Linked DNA regions of Arabidopsis thaliana. The main gene of each other region encodes a partner of the protein of the gene in region 3 in a complex. Each region holds a gene or a part of one and is shown on either strand. Other genes may lie near its edges.

Region 1 (3,752 bases), on a different chromosome or scaffold from region 3:
AGTTCTATCGCAAAGTTTGAATCATTTTATCTTCTTTGTTTTTTGTGTAAGCGATAAATCTAAAGACTCCGGTCAAAATCAACCTGTTGCAGATTATATTGTTACAACTAGATGCGTCTTGGAGAATGCATAAAAGAAAAAAGTCAAAAAACCGAATTGTTCATGAGTAATCATAGAGCGATACACTCTTGTCATCAGAGACACTAGCAAGTCGACCAGCCCGGACACCGGTTCCACCTGGTGGTCTAAAGGCCACAGACCAAACCTGGTCATTGTGGTTGCTCATTGTCTGAATCGCAGCTCTCATTTTAAGATCCCATAGCCTCACAGTTCTATCGCTTGAGCCGGTTGCTATGGCTCCACCGTCTGGGCTAGCATCAACGCTCAGCACCCAACTCGTGTGCCCTGACATGGACCCCAACAGCGTTTTCCCTTCTGCATCGTGCATGTTCACATGCCCATCATCTGATCCAGAGAAGAGGACTCTCGGGTCTACAGGGGAGAACACAAGGGACCTTACAGGCATATTGTGACCTTCTAGCTGGTGAAGTAGCTTTGAGCGGTCAACATCAAAAACACAGATCGTACCATCCATTGAACCACAAGCAAGTCGTTTCCCATTAGGAGACCAAGCCACCGAGAGAACGAATTTCTTGCTGCTGGTTTTATCGGAAGGTTTTGGTGCATCTGGGCGTGGGATTGATAGAGTTGAGATTAATCTCCAGCTTGCAGTGTCCCAAAGCTTGACTGAGGCACTACTTCCACCTGCAACAGCAAGGATCGTACCCTTGGAACATGTAAAATACTATGTTAGCAGAGCACCATTCTAAAGAGTAATGTTGAAATTATAAGCTCAGAAGCAAATAAAAACTCCACTGCAAACTAAAAGAGAGATCATTGCACTGATACTTGATAGTCACCAGGTCAAAATTCTATCATACCAAATCAAGATTTATCATCAAAGCACCAATAAATTGTTCTTAATCTACTATATAAGACTCAATGAAAAATCAGAAGATGATCTAGATCTATTTTCCGAGCAGAGTAGATGACCCTATCTGATCAGAGCTACAGATTCAAACGATACTCAGCAATTCCATATAGTACCCAAGCATTGTTATATAGATCAGGAGAAGCATTACTCGCAACTAAGAAGTGAAATTCAATGAAGCAATCGAATTCTTTCACCACAAAACAACCCAAAATCCTTCAAAACCCTAAAATTGGAGGCAATCTCATTGAGTCAATTACCTTAGGTTCAAATTGCATTCCCCAAACCTCAGAAGGAGGAGCTTCCAAAACAGCAATCGTAGCATTAGTATCAACATCAAACACACGGACAAAGCTATCAATCGAAGAAGATGCTGCAATAATCCCAGAAGGATGCGCAGCCAAAGCTGCTACTCCCAAAGAGTGTCCAGTATTAGTCCGCACAAGATCCAGCTCGTCCGGTCGCCATAACTTCACCGTCTCGTCAAGAGATCCAGTCAGAAGCAACGCCGGTCGATCTTCCGTCGCCGGAACCCACGTCGCTGCCCAAACGGAATCTTCGTGAGCGTTCTCGATCGATTTCAGACCTGCGAGTTTCATTCTCTTTTTAGGTTTTTACTGTGTTTCCTCAAGTGAGCAAGAAGAAGCAAAAGACCCAAATTTGAAACAGAGACTTTGATTCTCGTTTTTTAGTTATAAAATAGAAACTCGCGTCGTTTTTAGTAGTTGGAAACAATAGAGTGTTTAACATCGTTCCGTATTCTTGTTTACTACTAAAGGCCCATTAATATCGTAACAGGCCCATTAATATCTTCTTCCTCACTCTCCCGCCGTCGTCAGCTAATTGCGGAGAAGTACTCTCTGGAGCCGCCACGTCTCAGTGATCCGACTACGACACCTTTCTTCACTCTTCTTCTTGCGTCTTCTCTGCTCTCGTGGTCTCTCTGTTATTTAATTTTAATCGATTGAGATCGCTTTTAGCTCTCGTCTTTGAATTTTACGGGCAGAAAATGGGTGAAGAAGCTCGAGCGTTAGATATGGAGGAGATCAGTGACAACACGACGAGACGAAACGATGTCGTTCATGACTTGATGGTTGATTTATACCCGCTTAGCAGCTACTACTTCGGTTCAAAAGAAGCTCTTCGCGTCAAGGACGAGATTATCTCTGATCGAGTCATCAGATTGAAATCCAAGTAAATCGAGTTTTGATGTGATTTAGATCATCTGGTTTTTTTCTTATTGTTTTAATCTATAGCTAAAGTTTCTTTTTTGTTTCTTTTGAAGTTATGCTGCTCATGGATTGAGAACTTGCGTTGAAGCTGTTCTTCTGGTAATTTTATAGTTGGTAGCCAAATTAGGGATTTTGAAAAGTTTTACAGGGAAAATTGGTTTGAAAGGATTGATTAAAATCTAATGTTGGGACACATCAGGTTGAGTTGTTCAAGCATCCTCATGTTTTGCTTCTTCAATATAGAAACTCCATTTTCAAGCTTCCTGGTGGTCGTTTGAGACCTGGAGAATCAGGTTTAGTATGCTGTTTCCTTGCATCTTTATGCATAAATATCGCTGTCTCAATTCTAAACGCTAAAGTCATGTTTCTCCTTAATCTTCTAGATATTGAAGGTCTAAAACGGAAACTAGCATCAAAGCTATCGGTTAACGAAAATGTGGGTGTTTCGGGTTATGAGGTAGGAACTATGGCTTCTTGTTAAAGTGCTTTTGTATCTGATTGTTTCTGGCTTAAGAATGGTCTCTCTAATTACAACATTGTTGTAGGTAGGAGAATGTATTGGGATGTGGTGGAGACCCAACTTTGAGACATTGATGTATCCTTTCTTGCCACCTAATATTAAACACCCAAAGGTTGGTTAGTTAGTTTCACTTTCATTGTAAGAAAAAGTTGAGACTTTTGAAGATTTGCGCTTATACTAAAAGCTCTGCTCTATCCTCATCTTTTGTGTAGGAATGCACAAAGCTTTTTCTTGTGAGATTACCGGTACATCAACAGTTTGTTGTGCCTAAGAACTTCAAACTCCTCGCTGTTCCATTGTGTCAACTCCATGAAAATGAAAAGGTATGTACTATCTTACTTGCATTGCCCTTAACTCATCGTGAACTTTTAATCGATGTTCCTGGTAAAACTAACAGGGTCAGTCAATCAAGCTGTATTTAATTATGTGTTGTGATGTTTCATTTATGCGTTGCAGACTTATGGGCCGATCATGTCGCAAATTCCTAAGCTTCTTTCGAAATTCTCCTTCAACATGATGGAGATATGAACGAACCTCATGATCATTGCCTCTAGTAGCTCTTGCCCCCCGCAATTTGTGATAGGATTATGTTTGGGGAAATCGTTTGTGGAGCCTCTCTGAGTCTGTGACTATATAATGTATATAGGGCTTATAATATATAGACAATGTTGAAGAATAGCATGTTCTTGTTGGTTATAGAGACTAGACATGAAGTATACTGATAGATAGATTAATCAATTCGAAACAATTTTTCTTTGTGTGATAATTTCGATGTGTAATTGAATGTATACATGAGTAAAACAAATATAGGGGTGTATGCTTATTTGTATATTCCTTGTTGAAGAAAACCTTGTTATCTTCAAACATGAAACCGAGAAACATAAGTAAAGATTTTACTGTTTGTTATATGTGTTTATTGTATTTGATCAAACAATATTTGAAATATTGAAAACTTTCTATAAATATCAAACGTTAGTTTGGCATTCTGCGTTAGCGTTTTGTTGTAGTG
Region 2 (3,752 bases), on a different chromosome or scaffold from region 3:
TAATACATCATTGCATCAGAAGTACTAGTAATAGGCAAACTACATAGCTTCATTGCAGGTTTGATGGAAAATTTAAAAGCAGAAAAGCTTTGAAGAAGTGTTCACTTACATATGTTTTGCCATCTCGACTCTTAACAAACCTATGGCGAACAATATTATTGTCCAAACGGATACGATTCTTTGCTCCGGGTTCATCTGTCATGAATGTGTCTTCTTCAACGAATGTTTTGGCATCAAAAGGCTTTGGATCAATCCCCATGATATTGGAAACTTTTATCATGTTCATCTGAAAAAGATCAAAGAGAAAACGGTATATGAGGAAGCGCAATTTTGCTACAGAACATCTTCACTACAGATAGACAACTAGAAAATGGGGTTTCAGATATAAAACAGAATAGCACGCTCATGTACACCAAATGGCCCTTCATGCTAAGTAAATGTAGAAGCATGTTTCAGTGCAATGGTTCTCCACATAAAAGACATCAGATACTCACTCTTCGAACCACAATGATATGAGAGATTTTGGTAACTTGGAAATACCAGAAAGGAAACTATTGATTTGAAGCCATGTCAGCGAATAATCTTTTAGCAACATAAAGCAGGTATACCTTAACGGGGTCACCTGGAGGAGGGCGGAAAGGAACCTCCACTTCCAAAGGGGGACCAACTGGCCTCTCCCTGTACCTAGCTTCAACATGTTCAGCTTCTGACTCGTATTGAGGATCTTCTTCAGGGATTATATCATCAAGCACCATATCATCGGGTCTCAGATCCTTCTCAGAGCCCTCTTCATCTTCGATTGGCGATCTCTACAAAATTAGACATCTCATCATACATACATGCAATTTCATATGGTTTCTAAAAGGAAGCAAACACTGGAAAGGAAACAGATATTCTGTAAACTGAAATGTAATATTAGATGCAAGACTCACATGTTCATCCTGCTCAACGTCATTCCGAACATATTCTTCTGCGTCTTCATCATCCGAAGATCCGAAAACATTACGAATATTTACGTCTGACTGTGCAACTTGAACCTCTTCCTTCTCCTCACTAGGTGATCTACCCACCACGCCATATTTCCATGTACAAAAGACAAAGTGATCCATAAGAAATTTGAAAATCCAAGGAACCTCAGAGGACTAGCAAGTATTATTAAATCCAGAGCACAGAAAAGATCAAAAAGAAGCTATGAAACAGCTAGGAAAAAAAAGAATGGAAAAAGGGGTACCTTGGACTCCTAGTCTGATCAACCTCTTCATCTTCAGACTCATAATGCTTTTCACCAGACCTCTCTGATCCGCTCTCAACAACCTCCTGTCTCCTCTTTTTGGCTACTCTACCCCCATGTTCTTCTTCTTTGTTATCACTATCACTATCTCTTGCTTCACTTTCCTCTTGTGGATCAGCCTCCTGTGAACTTTGCTCCCTCTCACCCTCACTTTCTCCAGGATCAAGTTCTACATCTCCCTGTTCCCCGTCAGACTCAGCTTCAGCTTCTCCGTGAACTTCAACCTCAGCTTCACCTTCTCCTTCAGGCTCCACCCCGCCCTCAGCCTCATCCTATCAGTGTTTACATTGGAAATTTCAGCCACAATTTCACTGATATCTTAGTCTAGTTGATATTAAGAAGAACTGAAGCTGAATTAGGCCTAATAAGTTGCATTGGTTCCTGCAATTAACCTAAAACCCTAAATTCAAGCGAGAAGAACTCCAGAAACCATTCGTATTCCAAGGTGTAATTGAAGAACAGTGGCAGTGAAAAATACGAAAACTGAAACAATCAATAGTGACGAAACGAAGGAGATAAAGATGGAGAGAGTTACGGAAGCGTAGTTAGGCTGACGACGATTGCATTCATGTTCGGATTCGATCTCTTCTTCCTCGGAATTATCTCCGAACAGATTAAGCATCATCTCGGATCTCTTTTCTCCTTTAACCATCTTCGCCTCACTTACTCAAAAGTCACTGCCTCTTAGCTGGTGACGGCGGCTCGTGATCTGAGCTCCGACGAAGGGTTCACTGTTATCGGCCTTTGTTGAAGAAGCTATTTTTTTTTCATCTCTACCTCGCGATTTTATGGCATCAGAATTATTATTATTAAAAACAATTGTTACAACTTACAAAGAAAAGGAAATTTTCATCGATATATCTTTTTTAACGCATTACCGGATTATTAAAAATCATTTTTTTTACGTGTAACGACGACTAGAGAGGGAAAAAAGATGGGATTTTATGGGCTTTTTTGAGATTGGAATTCAATATTTTTGGCCCACAAATTTTGGGTTATGGATACCAGTTTCTTTGTGATAGTGAGCTTGTGTTTGCCTTGGCCCCTATGTATATGAATGATACAACATCCTTTTAACTGATTCTTTTGGCCCCTATTTTTTTATATTTAATTTATTTTAAAAACTAATTATTAACTTCTTTGATCAAATAACTTGAGTTGCCAAAATAAATGTTATGTCTTCTTCTAAAACATTGTTGTTGGTTTATAGATTTTATCTGCTTTAGAAATTAACAAGAGACAAAGATTAGGTAAAAGCATAACCGACTTGTGTTCTATGAAAACTTAAGTGACAACTAAACATCATGAATATTCAGGAAATCCTGAAAATTTAAACAGAATTATAGTAATTTCTGAAAAACTCAAGAAATTATGGAATAAAAAGAAAAAAGAAAAAACTATGGACACTTTTAAATTACTCAAACTAGTTTAAGGCTTTTGGAAATTTCACTTTTTGCTTTTTTTTAACTCGAGAAAATTACAATTTTATGTAGACACATTTTGCTCACAAATGTTTATTTATATATTTTCCATAAATTTATTTTTCAGCCTTTTATCTACAAAAATTTATCTTCTAAGAATGTTTTTACCACCAAAAATAATAAATATAAACCACAAAAATAAAATTATATATTTTATATATATATATATATATATATATATATAACAATTTTTATCTATGATATCTGGCAGTCGCAGTTGGCTTAAGCCGCCTGGCCGCCTCTGGAGGGACCAAAATAATTCAAATGGTAATTACGTGCCTTGGCTTCCAACCAACGTTTTTGACTAGGGCTGACTCGGTAGCTTGTTATGTTAGTATAAGAGTTAACTCCATCTGATACTCAGCTGAATAAACTCATACGTACAAAGGAATATTATCTAAAAGACGAGAGTACAAGTGAGAAATGGCGTTAAAGGTGATCAAGATCTCCCGAGTCAGCCCTGCAACCGCCTCCGTCGACCCGCTCATTGTCCCACTCTCGTTCTTTGATTTACAGTGGCTTAAACTCAACCCTACCGAGCAAGTCTTCTTTTACAAACTCACCGAATCATCATCATCTCGCGACGTTTTCTACTCCTCCATCCTCCCCAAGCTCGAGCGATCTCTTTCACTCATCCTCACTCACTTTCGCCTATTCACGGGTCACCTTAAGTGGGATTCACAAGATCCAAAGCCGCATTTAGTTGTTCTCTCAGGAGACACACTCTCTCTCACAGTGGCTGAGACTGATGCGGATTTCTCACGTATCTCTGGCAGAGGGCTTCGTCCAGAGCTAGAGTTACGCCCTCTAATACCCGAGCTACCGATTTATTCTGACTCGGGGGCTGTTGTATCTCTGCAAGTCACTTTGTTCCCGAAACAAGGCTTCTGCATTGGAACCACAGCCCACCATGTCGTCTTGGACGGCAAAACGGCTGAAAAATTTAACAAAGCATGGGCTCACACTTGTAAACATGGCAC
Region 3 (3,752 bases):
AACAGTGGTAGAACTTCAACCGGCTGCAAGTTTTTATTGGTGGCATGAACTGGTCGAGACTTGCATGCCTCAAAGGATGCTTCAATATCCTTGATTTGTCTCTCTCTAGAGACCAAAGAAAAATAAACCATTAGACCTTTTTTTTTCTCACTTTCCTTAGAAATACACATATTTGAGAAACAACACACCTATTGTTAAGATTGTGCAAGATGTTGATGCCTCCTTTCATCTCTCGCAGTTCCTTTGCTTGCTTCTCCGTTAGCGACTACACAAGGTAAACATAGGAAATTGGAAACTGTCTCTAGAAGCTATACATGGCAAAACAAATTTCCAACAAGCGAGATGGATAGATACCTGTCTTGCCGATTCGTTATTAATAGAAGAAATGTATTGTGTTTTGACGAGCCAAGACATGCCTTTATCAGTAGGTCTTTCTTTCCTCCGGATGCCATCTTTCTTAATAGGTGTAACAGCGTCATCATCACGCAAGAGTTCTTCATCTTCAGGGGCAAGAGGTGCCTTGACTTTGGGAGGGCTGAAAAGAGCTACAACAGTAAGTATCCCCAGTAGATGAGGTCGCTGGCATTAAAGACACTAAGACTTTATTGAGAGCACATACTTGTACACACTTAGGTCAAGCAGATCCAAGGGTATTCCAAGATCAGGCTCGACAAAGATTTTTGGTTTCCATAATTTCTCCAGGGATGTGATGGTATACTTTGTAAATCTAGTGGGATCAAAATAGCTGGCAAGTAAGGACAGTAGAATAACACAGAAATAAAATTTGGCAATAATAGAGAAACATACTGATCTTTATCCCGTTTAATGGTCATAAGCTTAAGCTGTGCACTAGGGTCAGGGAGCTCATTCCGGAACCTTGAAGAAGAAGATGAATATCAGAGTCTAACAATAATATGTAAAAAAGATTTAGGTAGTCGTTTGAAGAATACTGACTTGAGCTTGCAGATGAAGGTGGTTGGTTTCTTTAACCTATTCTCGACCCTGTCGGTGGTGAGTAGGGGCGTCGGCTTCTTCTCCTCGGTGTGTCCCTTGGGCATCTGAGACTTGTGAGAATTTTTCATCTGCTGTCTATGTTTTTCGTCTTGCCTTTGTTTCTCTAACTCCCTCTTCTTCCTAAGCCTCCTCTCTTCTTCGGTCTCGATTTTCTTAGAATGAGGAAGATGAGACCTGTGGTGGTGCTTCGATGGATCCGGTTTAGCACGCTCCCGCCTTCCAACCTGCTTGGAGGCCCCTTTCTCGTGGTCATTGGGACCCTGGTGTCGAGGAGGATCGGGAACGAGCGGAGGAGGAGCTGAGGGAGGTGGCGGAGGAGGAGGAGCTTGGAGCTGGTTGAATTGAGGATAGTGGGGCCCCTGCTGATAGTAAGCATGCGGAGGAGGAGGCGGCGGCGGAGGATATGAGTACGGTTGATGCGACGGTGGTGGGGGAGGAACAGGAGGGGGTAACGACGGCGGGGGAGGCGGAGGGGCCAAAGAATTTTGAGATGGTGGCTGAGGAAGAGGAGGATACGGCGGCCGGTACGACGCCATTCTCGGTGTACTTTGTGATCTGAATCACCTAAACCAACTAAAACGAGTCTTCTTGATATATATTAATTATATAGCTCCGGTCAGACTGATTTTTCCTTTTTACTTTAATTTGGGCCTCACTAGCGGCCCAATAACCGCTACTATCATATGGGTTCTGATAATTACGGCTTCAATACAAACAAAAACAATCTTAAGCTCACCGTTTTATGAATCCCAAATATGAACGAAACATGCTTTGTACCACCAAGCTCATCGACGTGTGACTGTGTGAGGAACACAAAATATTTATTTTCTACATTGATAATTACTCAAACATTATGTACAGTATAGCGAACCGAGGTGTGTGGTTAAACACTCAACACGCTGGACCAACTTATGAAAACCTCTTACCAGGACTTCACAAGCCGAAGATGTTATGGTCGTTGGCACTGAAAATAGCACCGCCAAACTGCCTGGTGTTCAAGTCGCCTCCATCAAGGGCGGTCCCAAAACGGTCAAGCCACTGGGCAGGACTGGGATTCTCTGCCTCTTCCACCCACTCCGACATCATGTCAATGTCCTCCAGGGCAATTGGGTCTGTCTCCAAGGTTATCATCCTCCCTAACTTTAGATTCTGATTCACGTACGCCAACTTGTTCAATATTTCTCTGTCAATCTTGTTTCGCCTTTCCCAGTGCATCTGCTGGAATGTGCTCCATTGGCGTTCCAAGTTGTAACCGCTGCAAACTTGGCTTAGTATTCTGATGGCCACCCGCTGCAAAACAGGTGCTGAGTCACCAAACTGCTCCCACCAGAGACCTGCATTACTAAGCAAACCATTATTAGACATCAACTTCTAGTCTTCTAGTGCTTCGTTACCAATTCTAAAGATCCCAGACCATACCCCTAATAGCCTGGTGAGGGGAAGATATCTACTAGTTTTGCAATTCGGTTTACTACGTGCCAGGCTATATCAACCTGGACTTATTTAGTTGTGTAATAAGACCATAGCTTTAATTGCGGTCATAGATAAGTGGATTATTTTTCTCCCGACTCAGACTACCTATACATCTCTGTTCACTAGTCATGACTTAAAGAAAATATAAATGTATTTATTGTCCATACCTGGTGAAACTGAATCCCTCGCCTCCATGGCCAGGTTACAGCCGAACATTCCCTTTGCCCTAGTGAAAGTGAATATCTGATTTGTAATATCACGCCGTAGATCGCTAGTAGGAAGAAGTTTCTCCAACACTTTGAAAAAATCTTCTTTCAAGGAAGTGAGGAACTTTATCTCTGGGTTATACTGAATACTGGGGTTCAAGAATGCTGCTGCTGCATGAAGAGGTGAATGCAAATGCTCACACCAGTTAGTATCAACTATGTCAGAAAAGACCTTATGCTTATTCTCATCCATGATGTAGTATGTCCGTATTGACTCCTTGGCCTTGGACATTAACTCGTATATAGAACCTACAGCGGGCTTTCCAGTAGAAACTTCCCTCAACACTTTCAGGATAGGCTCGGAAATAGCCACACTTTCTTCCACAGCTCTCCAGAAATCATTATCCTCTAGGATATTCACGCATGAAATGCTCTGTGGTTTGTTAGTATTTGTGGTATACTCTGGGCAATTGAACATGTGTTTTAGCCTTGCCTTTTGTTTCATCATTGACTGTAATGATAGAAAATTGGAGACAGACCTTGTGACACCGCTTCGGATAATATCTTGCCCGCCTGTTAACTTTCTCAATAAATCTAGCACGGGGCTATTGTTGTAGACAAACTTAGATATGACCTGCGCTTGCGATATACATTGATTGACCCAATCAACCTTGGAGAATTCTTCTAAGATGATGTTCAAACACTGAGATGCACAGGGGGAGACGAAAATGGTTGCATAGTTTTGCAAGAGATGGTTTGAGATACCAGTGTAGCAGAAGCTGTTGTCCATAATGATTTGCACAATATGCTCCTGACCAATATCTTGGATGACAGAATCAAAGAGATCAGCAAGGCATTTTGAGTTCTTGAAATATGAGGAGGCGTCGACAGACTTGTGAAAAAAGATTCTGGAAGGTGAAGAGACGGAGAAGTTAATCAGTGCTCGTGATTTGTTGTCGGTCCATGCCTCAGCGATGATAGTACAGCCGGTGGTGACCCACTCCTTTTCAGTGTCTTTCAGTTGTAAGCTAATATCTGACTTAACCCTGTCCAGCCATT

What was found.
Region 1: ELF7 (region 3) and VIP3 share a complex: the UniProt entries of both Arabidopsis thaliana proteins name them as parts of the nuclear PAF1 complex.
Region 2: ELF7 (region 3) and VIP4 share a complex: the UniProt entries of both Arabidopsis thaliana proteins name them as parts of the nuclear PAF1 complex.

Annotation. Positions count from the first base shown.
Region 1 is NC_003075.7:14,595,566-14,599,317, reverse strand, and holds VIP3 (Transducin/WD40 repeat-like superfamily protein), read right to left. Parts: upstream 1,760-3,752; 5' UTR 1,591-1,759; coding exon 1,252-1,590; exon of another isoform or gene 1,095-1,251; intron 788-1,094; coding exon 161-787; 3' UTR 18-160; downstream 1-17. Other genes in the region: homolog of CFIM-25, read left to right, coding at 2,001-2,185, 2,277-2,322, 2,423-2,516, 2,607-2,680, 2,769-2,855, 2,956-3,066, 3,200-3,271. UniProt on the Arabidopsis thaliana protein: Component of the PAF1 complex (PAF1C) which is involved in histone modifications such as methylation on histone H3 'Lys-4' (H3K4me3). Involved in regulation of flowering time. Required for the expression of the flowering repressor and MADS box gene FLC.
Region 2 is NC_003076.8:24,605,586-24,609,337, forward strand, and holds the start of VIP4 (leo1-like family protein), read right to left. Parts: upstream 2,141-3,752; 5' UTR 1,944-2,140; coding exon 1,827-1,943; intron 1,564-1,826; coding exon 1,232-1,563; intron 1,063-1,231; coding exon 933-1,062; intron 810-932; coding exon 609-809; intron 287-608; coding exon 110-286; intron 1-109. Other genes in the region: AACT1 (anthocyanin 5-aromatic acyltransferase 1), read left to right, coding at 3,196-3,752. UniProt on the Arabidopsis thaliana protein: Component of the PAF1 complex (PAF1C) which is involved in histone modifications such as methylation on histone H3 'Lys-4' (H3K4me3). Involved in regulation of flowering time. Required for the expression of the flowering repressor and MADS box gene FLC.
Region 3 is NC_003070.9:30,002,420-30,006,171, forward strand, and holds the start of ELF7 (hydroxyproline-rich glycoprotein family protein), read right to left. Parts: upstream 1,665-3,752; 5' UTR 1,551-1,664; coding exon 955-1,550; intron 877-954; coding exon 808-876; intron 728-807; coding exon 620-727; intron 536-619; coding exon 355-535; intron 266-354; coding exon 189-265; intron 106-188; coding exon 1-105. Other genes in the region: AT1G79740 (hAT transposon superfamily), read right to left, coding at 1,948-2,348, 2,655-3,752. UniProt on the Arabidopsis thaliana protein: Component of the PAF1 complex (PAF1C) which is involved in histone modifications such as methylation on histone H3 'Lys-4' (H3K4me3). Involved in regulation of flowering time.